Linked DNA regions of Anolis sagrei. The main gene of each other region encodes a partner of the protein of the gene in region 2 in a complex. Links are inferred from orthologs where the notes say so. Each region holds a gene or a part of one and is shown on either strand. Other genes may lie near its edges.

Region 1 (7,449 bases), on a different chromosome or scaffold from region 2:
GTTGCTGTGGCCCAGTCTGTGTATATGTGTTTTGTGTGTATATATTTGTCTATATATGTGTGTTTGTATATATGTGGGGGTATATATGTGTGTGTATATATTTGTGTATTTATATGTGTACATGCATATTATGTATGTGTGTGTTTGTCTATAAGCAAATTTGTGTGTATGCATATGTATATGTGCATGTGTATTATATATGTGTGTATATGTGTATATTTGTGTGTATTTGTGCATATATATACATGTGTGTATTAATGTGTGCATGTGTATATGTATATGAGTGTATGTGTATATGTATATATGGTGTCTTTTCTTGGGTTTTTAAGTCTGGTCTGGTGGGGTTGTGTGTGTGTGTGTGTGTGTTTAGGGGGGATGGGACAGCTTAAGACCAAACCTACAGAATCCATCTTGTTTGGAATTTGGGGACTGCCTGTATGTGTATATGTGTGTGTCTGTGTGTGTGTGTGTGTGTTTGCAAGTGTGTATACCCATCAACTGAGGGTACAGTTGATGGGTATACACACGTGTCATGACTTGATGGTCTGGAATCATGGGAAGTGTAGGTTGGTATCAGCACTCATTGGTAAAGAAGGCAAAACATCTTGTAAAATTACAGCTCCCCTGATTCCATATCATTGAGCTATGGCAGTTAAAGTGGTGTCAAACTGCATTAATTCTACAGTGTACATGCACCCTGAACTCTCAATTACTCAAGTTACTTCCAACACAATATGAATAGGATCACAACTATGGAAACAATGAAGATGGCATCCTATACACACTTACTTGAGATTAATCCACACTTTTCCAAAATATGTGTAGGACATTACATTCTAAAATGTAATTCAAAGAGGACCAATTCCACCACTTGATTATCTGATATCTGTTAGTTTTCCCAAGTTGTCAAATTAATAGCTATCTCATGCACTCTTCTGTTCAGAGGTTGTCACTGCAGCTAGTGGCCAAAGCCAGCACTTTGAATTGGGCCTGGTAGTAATCTGGCAGCCATGGCTTCTGCATCCCAATCTAGCCCTATATGCCAGAATATCAGGGCAAAAAAATCCCACAGTATCTGCTTTGAACTAAGACTACACTGCCATATTTCCCAGTTCAAAGCAAATAATGTGGGATTTTATTTAGCTGTGTGGAAGGGGCCACAGAGGGTTTGCTAGAGTTAGCATCCTTTTGTGGCTTAAGTTTAAAATCATGCAAATATATATATATGCATATGCATACATGCCTACATTCACACACACATCTCTGCAGCTCTCATGAGAAAAAACAATCAGAATAGAAGAAATAGAAGAGGCAATACGATCTGCCAAAAGTAATAAAGCTCCAGGGCCAGATGGTTAAAAAAAAAAAAAAGAATTGTGCTGAATAACGGTTTACCTACACTGATACCACTTTAACTGCCAGGACTCGATGCTAGAGATTCACAGAAGTTGTACTTTTACAAGATCTTTCGCCTTCTCTTTCTCCGTTTATCATTCCAGAAGTTTCTTTTTTTTGTTGTTTCAAAAAATGCACAACTTTTTATTTCTTATCTGCCTCTCCTTGTCTCACGGTGGGTTAGAGTGTCATTGAAACACATAAACATTGTAAAAATACAATACAATAAATTTCTATAAAATGAACATATTATACCTAAATACACCTAAAACAAACCATACATTATTAAATTTTTTTGTAATGTATTTCCAAAAAACGAATCCAAGGCTGAAATTAAAATTGCTGGAAGAAACATTAACAACCTTAGATATGCAGATGATACCACTTTGATGGCCAAAAGCGAGGATGAGCTGAGGAGCCTTCTAACCAAGGTGAAAGAAGAAAGTGCAAAGGCTGGGTTGCAGTTAAACATCAAAAAAACCAAGATTGTGGCAACAAGACTGATAGATAACTGGCAAATAGAGGGAGAAAATGTGGAGGCAGTGACAGACTTTGTATTCCTAGGCGCAAAGATTATTGCAGATGCAGACTGCAGCCAGGAAATCAGAAGATGTTTACTTCTTGGGAGGAGAGCCATGACCAATCTCGGTAGAATAGTGAAGAGTAGAGACATCACACTGGCAATGAAGATATGAATAGTTAAAGCAATGGTATTCCCCAAAGTAACATATGGATACTAGAGCTGGACTATGTGGAAAGCTGAGCGAAGGAAGATAGACGCTTTTGAACTCTGGTGTTGGAGGAAAATTCTGAGAGTGCCTTGGACCACAAGAAGATCCAACCAGTCCATATCAAATCATAGTAGCACTGCAGAACTTTCTCTTGAAAAGAGCTGTTCTCATATCACTCACTTCCAAAGTCTCCTCGTTTGGCTGCTTCAGATCTATTCAGTTGAAGAAAAAGGATCACATCTGGTTTTGGAAGCCCCACATCAGGTTGTTTACACCATTCTAAAGAGAGGTTCTCTTTAGCACCTTTAGCACCATTCCCTCCAATGAGCCCGACTGCTCATTGGAGGGAAGGATAGTAGAGAGAAAGATGTACTTTGGCCACATAATGGGGAGACAGGAAAGCTTAGAGAAGACAATGGTGCTGGGGAAAAAGGAAGGAAGAAGGAAGAGGGGCTGACCAAGGGCAAGATGGATGGATGGTATCCTTGAAGTGACTGTCTTGACTCTTAAGAAGCTGGGGGTGGTGACAGCCAACAGGGAGCTCTGACGTGGGCTGGTCCATGAGGTCACAAGGAGTCGGAAGCGACTGAATAAATATAAAAAACAATTTCCATTTTTAAAGAAAATTCGGTACACTCCTAACAGTTTACTGTTTTGGAATGGATTTAATTATTTGCACCCCATTCCCCAAATACAGACACTATTATCATTTTATCATGCTGGAAATTTTTTTTCTTGTTGTTTCAAAAAGTGCACAACTTTTAATAGTTTTTAATTCAGGAATGTATTTATTTGAAATCCCCCCCCCCCCAATGAATAATATATTTTTATTTCTTACCTGCCTCTCCTTGTGTCTCAAGGTGGGTTACAGTATAATTGTAACACATAAAGATTGTAAATAATTTTATTGTTCATTTTTCAAATATAACAACCTAAAAATACATTGAAGCGATGGTCTTCCACCATCAACTCCGCTGGACCGGCCACGTTGTCCGAATGCCCAACCACTGTCTCACAAAGTAGTTGCTCTACTCCGAACTCAAGAACAGAAAAGGGAATGTTGGAGGACAGGAAAAGAGGTTTAAAGATGGGCTCAATGAAACCTTAAAAACTCTGGCATAGACACTGAGAACTGGGAAGCCCTGGCCCGTGAGTGCTCTAGCTGGAGGTCAGCCATGACCAGCACTGCTGTAGAATTTGAAGAGGCATGAATGGAGGGCGAAAGAGAGAAATGTGCTAAGAGGAAGGCGTGTCAAGCCAACCCCAACCAGGACCGCCTTCCACCTGGAAACCAATGCCCTCACCGTGGGAGAAGATGCAGATCATGAATAGGGCTCCACAGTCACCTACGAACCCACTGCCAGAACACCCATCTTGGAAGACAATCCTACTCGGACGAGGGATCACCTAAGTAATTACAATAAAATGAATTTCTATAAAACACACTAGCCATCCCCTGGGCCACACGTTGCTGTGGCCCAGTCTGTGTATATGTGTTTTGTGTGTGTATATATGTTTGTGTACTTACTTACTTACTTACTTACTTAGGCGATCCCTCCTTGTCCGAGTAAGATTGTCCTCCAAGTTCGGTGTTTGTGTATATGTGTATATATGTGAGTTTGTGTATATATGTGGTTTTGTGTATAATGTAATTCTTATTTCTGTCTTTTTAAGTCTCTTCTGCTGTGTTTTAAGGTGTTTTTTATCAGTGATGGTCACTTGTTGACCTGATAGGTGTATTGTGTCCCAATTTGGTGTCAATTAGTCCAGTGGTTTTTGAGTTATGTTAATCCCACAAACGAACATTACATTTTTATTTATATAGATGTTACACTTAAATACACCTAAAACAAACTATACATTATTTAAATTTTGCTATATATACAAAATAGTAGTAATAATAATAATAATGCAATGCACTCTTAAGAGTTTACTATTCTGGAATGGATTTAATAATTTGCACACACTCTTAAAAGTTTATCAGTCTGGAACCAATTTTTTTAAATGTTTTCAGAGCAAAGTGCAAAATAAAGAAATATAATCCAGAATTATATACTTTTAAGACTGTATATATTTTGGGGATGGGAATAAAAACATTCCAGAATGATGAATTGCCTTGTTTTGTAGGGAAAAGGTATACAAATAATAACTGACTGCAGGACACTCCATCTCTACCACTTACAACTCACTTTTGCTATTTTGGCTTCACCTAAGCCCCGCCCCTTGAGCGAATGACGTAGTCGATCCGGACTCCGCCCCATTTCCCCGCCACTTAAGACCGCATGGTTCTTCTGCGCATGCGCTGCGGAGAAGAGTGTCGTCAGTTCCTTCAGGGTAAAGAAGAAAACCTCCAAAGCACCGGAAGTGCTCTGTGGTGACTAACGGAAGTAGGTTCGGCGTTGGATCTGGAAGGCTTCTGCTGAAGGAGCTGGGTCGTTGTGGCGGGAAGAGTTGTGGAGACGAGACGACAAGATGGTGGAGGTGAGGGAAAAAGGACTCTTTCTTGGCCGGGCATTGAAATGCCGGGCTGCCGGAGTTTAAGGAATGAAGACCAGTTTAAGGGATGGCGCGGGAGGATGCTGGTGGTTTCTGTATTGTCTCAGGAGTATTTCGTTGCTATCTGTTATTCCACTTGGGCGTGTTTTCACTCGGAATAATTTGTATTTACAGCATAGAGCAGGCATGGGCAAACTTCGAGCCTCCAGGTGTTTTGGACTTCAACTCCCACAATTCCTAACAGCCTCCGGCTGTTAAGAATTGTGGGAGTTGAAGTCCAAAACACCTGGAGGCCCGAAGTTTGCCCATGCCTGGCTTAGACTGAAAAAAAGCAGCGAGATCTCTCAAGCTTAAACAAGAAATTAAGTTATGTTCTGTATAGACCTTATACATAGGCCTAAGGTGATTTTGCTTACGATATTTTAAATAATTAAAGTGTATGAAGGTGACAGTCTCAGCCATTGATGTGGACCATTGTGGAGTATTTTGGATTTCAGGAATTCTGGATAAGAGACGCTCAGCTGGTAACGAAAGTTGCAATATCTTCCTTCCCCGGTCTGCCCACCCCTCCAGAATCTCCCAAACCAATTGTGTGTGTGTATATATATATAATTATATATATATATCCTGGTTTATCTCTCGATATGGAGACTCAAAGTGCCTCACAATCAAAAATATTACAAATTCAAATATACAATAAGAGTACAGTATATTATTATATATTATAAGTAGTAATTATCTATATAAATAAAAATGTAATGTTCGTTTGTGAGATTAACATAACTCAAAAACCACTGGACAAATTGACACAAAATTTAGCAGTATTCTCACCTCCATTCGAGGGACTCAGGCTGGTTTCCAACATCCATATTGCAAACAGTCATTAAAACATCATATTCTAAATCACACTAAAACATTAAAATACAGTCATATGATTACAGTGGTCAGTCGTCATCAAAAATCATTATTCGTCGTCATCCATCCATATCACAGGGTCATGGCTCATTCGTCGAAAGCCAATCCCCAAAGCCAAGTTTTCACATGTTTCCTGAACGTTAAGATAGAAGGCTCCAGCAAAGGATCGCCGCCTTGTCGGGGCGCTGGAGCTTGAGCACCTCAATGATGTCATGAGCGAAACCGTGAAGGGACACCCAAGACGGGACGGTTGTGGCAGAGAGGTCAGACCAAGCGTGATCCCTGGGGAAGGCAATGGCAAACCACTCCAGTATCCTTGCCAAGAAAACTAAATGGACCAGTACAATCAGAGATATGTCGGTATGCCATTGGAAGATGGGACTCCCAGGTCGGAAGATGGCCAAAATGCTACTGGGGAGGAGCAGAGGATAAGTTCAACTAGCCCCAGATGTGATGACGCAGCTAGCTCAAAGCCGAAAGGAAGGCTAGCGGCCGACGGTACTGGAGGTGAACGACGAATCCGATGCTCTAAAGATCAACACACCATAGGAACCTGGAATGTAAGATCTATGAGCCAGGGCAAATTGGATGTTGTTATTGGTGAGATGTCAAGACTAAAGATAGACATTCTGGGGGTCAGCGAACTGAAATGGACTGGAATGGGCCACTTCACATCAGATGACCACCAGATCTACTACTGCGGACAAGAGGAACATCGAAGAAATGGAGTAGCCTTCATAATTAATAAGAAATTCGCTAAAGCGGTGCTTGGATACAACCCAAAAAATGACAGAATGATCTCAATTCGAGTGCAAGGAAAGCCTTTCAACATCACAGTGATCCAAATATACGCCCCAACCACAGCTGCTGAAGAAGCAGAAGTAGATCAGTTCTATGAGGATCTGCAGGACCTACTGGATAATACACCAAAAAGAGACATTATTTTCATTACAGGAGACTGGAATGCCAAGGTGGGAAGTCAAATGACAACTGGGATCACAGGCAAGCATGGTCTGGGAGAACAAAATGAAGCGGGACGCAGGCTGATAGAATTCTGCCAGGAAAACTCGCTGTGTATAACGAATACTCTCTTCCAACAACCTAAAAGACGGCTTTATACATGGACCTCACCAGATGGTCAACACCGAAATCAGATTGACTACATCCTTTGCAGCCAAAGGTGGCGGACATCCATCCAGTCCGTGAAAACAAGACCTGGGGCTGACTGCAGCTCAGATCACGAACTTCTTATTGCCCAATTTAGAATAAAACTAAAGAGATCAGGGAAAATACACAGACCAGTTAGATATGATCTCACTAACATTCCTAGCGAATATACAGTGGAAGTGAAGAACAGATTTGAAGGACTAGATTTAGTAAACAGAGTCCCAGAAGAACTATGGACAGAAGTCCGTGACATTGTTCAGGAGATGGCAACAAAGTACGTTCCAAAGAAAAAGAAAACCAAGAAGGCAAAATGGTTGTCTGCTGAGACACTGGAAGTAGCCCAAGAAAGGAGGAAAGCAAAAGGAAACAGTGAAAAGGGGAGATATGCCCAGTTAAATGCGCAATTCCAGAGGTTAGCCAGAAGAGATAAGGAACTATTTTTAAATAAGCAATGCATGGAAGTGGAAGAAGACAACAGAATAGGAAGGACAAGAGACCTCTTCCAGAAAATTAGAAACATTGGAGGTAAATTTCAGGCAAAAATTGGTATGATAAGAAACAAAGATGGCAGGGACCTAACAGAAGCTGAAGAGATCAAGAGAAGGTGGCGAGACTATACAGAAGATCTATATAGGAAGGATAACAATATCGAGGATAGCTTTGATGGTGTGGTGAATGAATTAGAACCAGACATCCTGAGGAGTGAGGTTGAATGGGCCTTAAGAAGCATTGCTAACAACAAGGC
Region 2 (7,239 bases):
AAAATATCTGCAGAAAGAATAATAATATCAACAGAAATATAGATTTCAATGGCTTCTCTGTATAGTCTAACCTGATGGTTGTCGGAGTGGTTTCTGTGTTCTCAAATAATATTTTGTGTCCAGTCGACACCTCCCAAACAGAGGGTGCCTCTAGTCAACAGAGGCCAAGCTACCTCTATGCAAATGCCTTCACTTATTGACCTTGCAGCTTCATGGCCACTCAGTGTTATTCAAGCTTGCTCACATTCACACTTTTTCCAAAAAGATATGGGGTTTCTCCCACCCTGGACATTATTCCACAGTGTATAAACAAAGACCACTGAACATCTCCCAGACAGAGGGTGCCTACAGGCAATACAGGCCAGGTTCCCTCTGTGCATATACCCTCACTGATTGACTTTGCAGCTGCAAGGCCACTCAATGCTATTCAAGCTTGCTGATTGCAACATCCACACTTCAAACAGACAAAGGTTCTTCCTCCCACCCTGGATATAGTTCCACAGGTAGATAGATAGATATTAAAAACACTCCACTTGCCTCATGGCTAGTAATCTGTACAAATAAAAATGTAATGTTCATTTGTGGGATTAACATAACTCAAAAACCACTGGACATATTGACACCAAATTTAGACACAATAAACCTATCAGGCCAACGAGTGACCATCACTCATAAAAAAAACTGAAAAACACAGCGGAAGGGACTTAAAAAGCCAAAAAACAAAAAATGTATTATAACGCATATGCAAAACCACATATATACACACACACACATATATATACACACACATATACACATAACACATATACACAGACTGGGCCACAGCAACGCATGGCAGGGGACAGCTAGTAACCCAATAATAATACTTCTCCCTCCCTGTTTTCCCCAGGACCGCCTGGCTCGCTGCACCATGCACTGCAACGACAAAGCCAAGGACGCCTTCGACTCGGGCAGCAAGGAGCCGCAGGTCAAGTCCCAGCTGGAGAACTGCGTCTCCCGCTGCGTGGAGGACCACCTCAGCCTCATCCCCAGCATGACCAAGAAGATGAAGGAGAACCTGGCTGGGATTGCGCAATAGAAAAAAAAAAGGGAAAGGCAGAAGGGATTGCAGCGGAGATCCCAATGGAGCTGGCCGCAAATGCAGAAGCAGGCAACAATGCAAAAGAGTTGGTGGCGGATTTCCTTACAGTGCAGAAACTCTCCTGTGATGGAGAGGAGGGGAGGAAAGAAATGGCCCTTTTCTTTTGGTGCTGTCTGAAATCCCGTACCTAACCCATGGTACGCAAAATTAAAAATAGGTATGGATATATCCACATCTCCCCCGCAAAAAAACAAAGCAAAGGTGCATCCACACTGTAGAGTTAATGCAGTTTAACAGCAATTTTACTGCCATGGCTCAATGTGATGGAATCCTGGGAGTTGTTTTTCAGTGAATCCCCAATTTGCCTGGCTGGAGGCCTTTCAAAACTGCAAACTCCCCAGATGCCTTTGCATCAAGCCACTGGAATTTAAAGTGGTATCAAACTGGATTAATTCAACAGTGTAGACTTAAATGCTGCACAAGTGCAATGAGAATGAGGACGCCCTTAGATTGTGCAGACAGCCATTCAAGATGGAGAATATGAATGAAAGCTGTGAAATGTATAGCTGCTCAGAGGCCATTCTTACGCATTCGGTTGCATTTTGTTCCAATGGGAACGACTCCTGGGACTGACAATCACCAATGCTGTTCCGATTTCCTATATTTTCCTCCTTCCCTTTAAACTGAAATATTTTCTAAAGAATTTAAATAATAATAAAAAAAACATGAAAACTCTACATTGCTGGGATTTCAGGCGTGTTGTGTTCCGAATTTATTTTTTTGGATATTCTTCATATTCACCTGAAACAAGCCTTGCATTTAAGGGATTGAAGTTGTTATTTAATTGCTGTCAAATTGACATGAATTTATGGCAGTCCCTCAAATAATCCCATCATCCACAGATCTTCCTCTTTTCCTTTGGCCTTTCCAAGCATTATTCTTTTTTTGAAATGATATGGTCAGGTTTAGCCACCTTGGCTTCTACTTGATATTTTTATTGTAATTGCCTGATTTTGCACTTTTATTTTAAATATTATATTCAATATCTACAGACATATATAATTTGATATATTTAATTATACATAATATAATAAATGAAATACTAATTTATAATATAATATATATTAATATTATACATACATATAAAATTTGATATTGCCTACTTTTTGCACTTTCAGTTCAATATATATGTATTTGCACTTTTTATTTATCATATATATATATATATATATATATATGATAAATAAAAAGTGCAAATAAATATATATTCAACTGAAATATATATGTATTTGCACTTTTATATCTGGATGCATGTATATACACACATGCACACACGTGTGTGTATGTGTACCATACACTATTACTTATTTTTCATTTTTACTTTAGATATAAATATATATGTGCATATACATATATATATATACACACACTCACTCACATTGATATATATATATATATATATATATATATACACACACACACACACACACATATATGGATACACACACAAATATGTTTGTATATGTATATTTTATATATATATTATCCTTTTTACTTTATATATAAATATATATGTGCATATACATATATATATATACACACACACGTGTGTGTGTGTGTGTATTACATATAATATATAATATATATAACCTGATTTTGCGCATAGCTGTCCCCTGCCACACATTGCTGTGGCCCAGTCTGTTGATCTGGAAAATAAAGTAATGAGAAAGTATTGGTTTCTAATATATGTAATCTCTTTATGCTTGTGGGTAAACAGTATTTCTAATTGTTTCTTTGTCAGTGTTGATGTGGAGAGTGTCTGGTTTGCCTACTCTGGAACATGCAACATAGAATTGTCCGTCTTTAGGGGTCCCTTTCAAATCTATGATACTATATCTCTGTGTGTGTGTGAATCATATCTATATCTATCTATGGCTGGATGGCTCTTTGTCAGGAGGGCTTTGATTACGTTTTCTTTCCCTGGTTGGACTGGATAGCCTTAAGTATTTTCTGTTGGTTTTGCGAGTTCTGTGTGGGAAGTTTTGCCCCAATGCAGTAGCTGGTGGAGTTCAGAATGCTCTTTGATTGTAGGTGAACTATAAATCCCAGCAACTATTAATCCCAAATGTCAAGGTCTATTTCCCCAAACTTCATTTGTGTTCACATTTGGGCATATTGAGTATTCGTGCCAAGTTTGGTCCAGATCCATCATTGTTTGAGTTCACAGCTCTCTGGATATAGGTGAACTTCAACTCCCAAACTCAAGGTCAGTGCCCACCAAACCCTTCCAGTATTTTCTGTTGGTCATGGCAATTCTGTGTGCCAAGTTTGGTTAAATTCCATCATTGATTTAGTTCAGAATGCTCTTTGATTATAGGTTAACTATAAATCCCAGCAACTACATCTCCCAAATGACAAAATCATAATTTTTGAGTGATGCTCACTCCTTGTGTTGTGAGACATTTTCTTGCCAAATTTGGTGTGATTTTGTTCATTGGTTCTTTTGTTTTAAAGATACTCGTTATGCACAGAGCATTTTTATATATGTAGATAATTATATATTGTGTGCATGTATATGCCACATTAAAGATGATCCTATTTTTATCTAGAATTCTTTCAGGTGTCCCTATATGGTTATGCAACCATATTCCAGTTTTCGGAAAAGATCCTTTCTTGGATCCCAGAATTCCTGACTGTGAGAGCCGTTCAGCAGTGGAACTCTCTGCCCCCCAGTGTGGTGGAGGTTCCTTCTTTGGAAGCTTTTAAACAGAGGCTGGATGGCCATCTGTCAGGGGTGCTTTGAATGCAATATTCCTGCTTCTTGGCAGGGGGTTGGACTGGATGGCCCATGAGGTCTCTTCCAACTCTTTGATTCTATGAATTTTCATCCACTGAAAAGATCTGAGCTTTCCCACGTGCTGCTACAAAGGAAAGGGCGCGCATTAGGACCGCCCGGATCTCTGGGAAAAAAGGAGGTTCCTCTAAAAACGAGTGGGCGGGGATTTCATCTGCTAGACCTCTGATTGGAAGACAGGACTGTGAAGGTGGAGCTTAGCTCTCCTCCCTGCAGCGATTGGTTGATTGTTAGTGTGAGGCGGGTTTATGTCTTCCTCCTCTAGTCAAGTTTTTGCGCTTGCGCGACGGCCTCTTCCTGATTGGTAGGGCGAAGCGTCGTGACGTCATACGCTGGCTGAGGCGAAGGAGAACATTCGGAGAGCGTGAGGGAAGCGGCGTGTGAAGAGGAACCATGAGCAAAGCGCACCCGCCCGAGCTGAAGAAGTGAGTCAAGGCCCGGGAAGCCGGCGGGGCAGTGGGGCGGCCGGGAATTGAACGCGAAAGAGTCGGGAACGAAGCGGGCTGAGGAAGACCGCTAGGCCGGTTGGGGCCTACTCGCTTCCCAGCATGCATTGCTCCAACCGGGTTCGCCCATAGAGTTACGAAAAACTTAGAGCCATTCAAACTTGCAAAGCTTCTATTTATTGATTTACGAGAGTTCTTTCTTCCACCCTGGGCATTATCCCACAGATATATAAACCCCATTTACCTAATTTCCAACACAGAAGCTAACAAATTGAAATTGAATCCAGACAAGACAGAGGTCCTACTGGTCAGTCGTAAGGCGGAACAGGGTATAGGGTTACAGCCTGTGTTAGATGGGGTTACACTCCTCCTGAAGACTCAGGTTCGCAGCTTGGGAGTGATGCTGGACTCATCGCTGAGCCTGGAATCCCAGGTCTCAGCAGTGGCCTGGAGAGCTTTTGCACAATTAAAACTTGTGCACCAGTTGTGCACAAGTTGGGAAGTCTGATCTGGCCACGGTGGTCCACGCTCTTGTTATATCCCGAATAGACTACTGCAACGCTCTCTACATGGGGTTGCCCTTGAAGACTGTTCGGAAACTTCAACTAGTCCAGCGAGCGGCAGCCAGACTGCTCACTGGAGCGACATACAGGGAGCATACCACCCCCCTGCTGTGTCAGCTCCACTGGCTGCCGATTCAGTTCCGAGCACAATTCAAGGTGCTGGTTTTGACCTACAAAACCCTGTACGGTTCCGGTCCAGTGTATCTGTCCGAACGTATCTCCCTCTACGCCCCACCCCGGAGTTTGAGATCATCTGGGGAGGCCCTGCTCTCGACCCCACCACTGTCTCAAGCGAGGCTGGTGGGGACGAGGAGCAGGGCTTTCTCAGTGGTGGCCCCTCACCTGTGGAACTCTCTCCCAGGGGAAATCAGGGCATCATCATCCCTCCTCGCCTTCAGGAGGAGGGTGAAGACGTGGTTATGGGACCAGGCCTTTGGGCACTTTGGCAATTAAATCAGACAATCAGGCGAGTAAGATCAACAGGATTGATGAAGTGGAACGTAAAACTAGATCTATCAGTTAGCGAACGTTGACCATGTAAGAGGAGAAATTGGGTTTGTATTGGTTTTATTGATTTTATGGTTATAATGCATGAATTGTTGTCAACTGTGAATTGATGTAATTTTGTGTATGATTGTTTTTATGATGCAGGCATCAAATTGTGCCTTGCCTCTGTAAGCTGCCCTGAGTCCCCTTCGGGGTGAGAAGGGCAGGGTAAAAGAACCCCAAATAAATAAATTGAAATCCACAAGCACGTGGACAAATTCAACAGAAAGGAGGAAACCATGAAAATGAACAAAATCTGGCTACCAATATTTAAAAAAACTAAAATTACAACAGCAAAACAACAGAGGAAAAACAATCAGAGGCATCTAATCACCTCTCAACAAAAGATTGCCCCAGGCACTGCCAGGACATCAAATGCTAATCAAGGTGGTCAGTTGAAACATTCACACCTAGCTCCAACAGACAAAGGTTCTTTGTCCCACCCTGGTCATTCCACAGATATATAAATCCCATTTACCTAGTTTCCAACAGACCTCACAACCTCTGATGATGCCTGCCATAGATGCAGGCGAAACGTCAGGAGAGAATGCTTCTGGAATATGGCCGTACAGCCCAAAAAACCTACGACAACCCAGTGATTCCGGCCTTTCATGGCCTTCAACAATACATTATTATTATTATTATTATTATTATTAAGAGGTCACAATAAATATGAAATACTAACTGCCCCCTGCCACACATTGCTGTGGCCCAGTCTGTGTATTTGTGCTTTGTGTGTGCATATATTTGTATTTTTGTATATATATGTGTGTGTTTGCGTGGTTATGTGCATGCATTGTAATGTTTTTTTTTTGGTTTTTTTTTTGCTTTTTAAGTCACTTCCACTGTGTTTTTTCAGTGTTTTTATGAGTGATGGTCACTCTTTGGCCTGATGTGTATTGTGTCCAAATTTGGTGTCAATTCGTCCAGTGGTTTTTGAGTTGTGTTAATCTCACAAATTAACATTACATTTTTATTTATATTATCCCACCCCGAAGGGGACTCTGTAATATAAATAATAATAGTATATTATTAGCACAGCACAATATTATGTCCTTCCGTAAGAGCCTCAAGACATGGCTATTTGAGAAGGCATTTAACTGAGTGCTACAGTAACTGGAAATGACAACTGGAACGGAATATGGATTACGAGATTGGTTATGATTCTACTATAAGACGGAGCGGATTTTTAGTGTAATTAGATAACTGTGTATTAGTGATATATTGATTTTTGTTGTTATGGCTTGATTGTAAACTGTCTTTTATATATTGTACACCGCCGTGAGTCGCACTAAAGGGCTGAGAACGGCGGTTAATAAATGCAGCAAATAAATAAATAAATAAATAAATAAATATTAGTATTGTATCTTACTATGTTGTACTATACCACTATACTGTAATATTACTAGTAATATTACATGCAATATGAAATATATAATTGTTATAATGTATTACTAATATTATATTGCATTACTAATATTATATTGCATTACATTATAACATTATCAATACTATATGTGTATACAATATATAATATTAGCACAGCACAATATTAGTATTATGTATTACTATATTGTTGCTGGGGGGGGGAGGGGCTCCCAACTGATGACCCAGGAGACATGGTGGAACTCTGTCTTTCTGGCTTCCCCTTTTCACTGTGGCTCCAGAGCATTTATCATATTTATTCAAACTTGCAAGGCTTCTAATATGTCACAAAGGGAGAACAAGGAGAAAATGATGTGGGGTTTG

What was found. Proteins that work in one complex are often made in the same cells at the same time.
Region 1: SNRPG (region 2) and PLRG1 share a complex: the UniProt entries of both Homo sapiens proteins name them as parts of the minor spliceosome. The link is inferred for Anolis sagrei from reciprocal best matches to the Homo sapiens genes SNRPG and PLRG1.

The regions. Positions count from the first base shown.
Region 1 is NC_090025.1:52,016,728-52,024,176, reverse strand, and holds the start of PLRG1 (pleiotropic regulator 1), read left to right. Parts: upstream 1-4,447; 5' UTR 4,448-4,598; coding exon 4,599-4,607; intron 4,608-7,449. UniProt on the Homo sapiens protein: Involved in pre-mRNA splicing as component of the spliceosome. Component of the PRP19-CDC5L complex that forms an integral part of the spliceosome and is required for activating pre-mRNA splicing.
Region 2 is NC_090027.1:20,748,022-20,755,260, forward strand, and holds the start of SNRPG (small nuclear ribonucleoprotein G), read left to right. Parts: upstream 1-4,230; 5' UTR 4,231-4,328; coding exon 4,329-4,360; intron 4,361-7,239. Other genes in the region: protein FAM136A, read left to right, coding at 890-1,078. UniProt on the Homo sapiens protein: Plays a role in pre-mRNA splicing as a core component of the spliceosomal U1, U2, U4 and U5 small nuclear ribonucleoproteins (snRNPs), the building blocks of the spliceosome.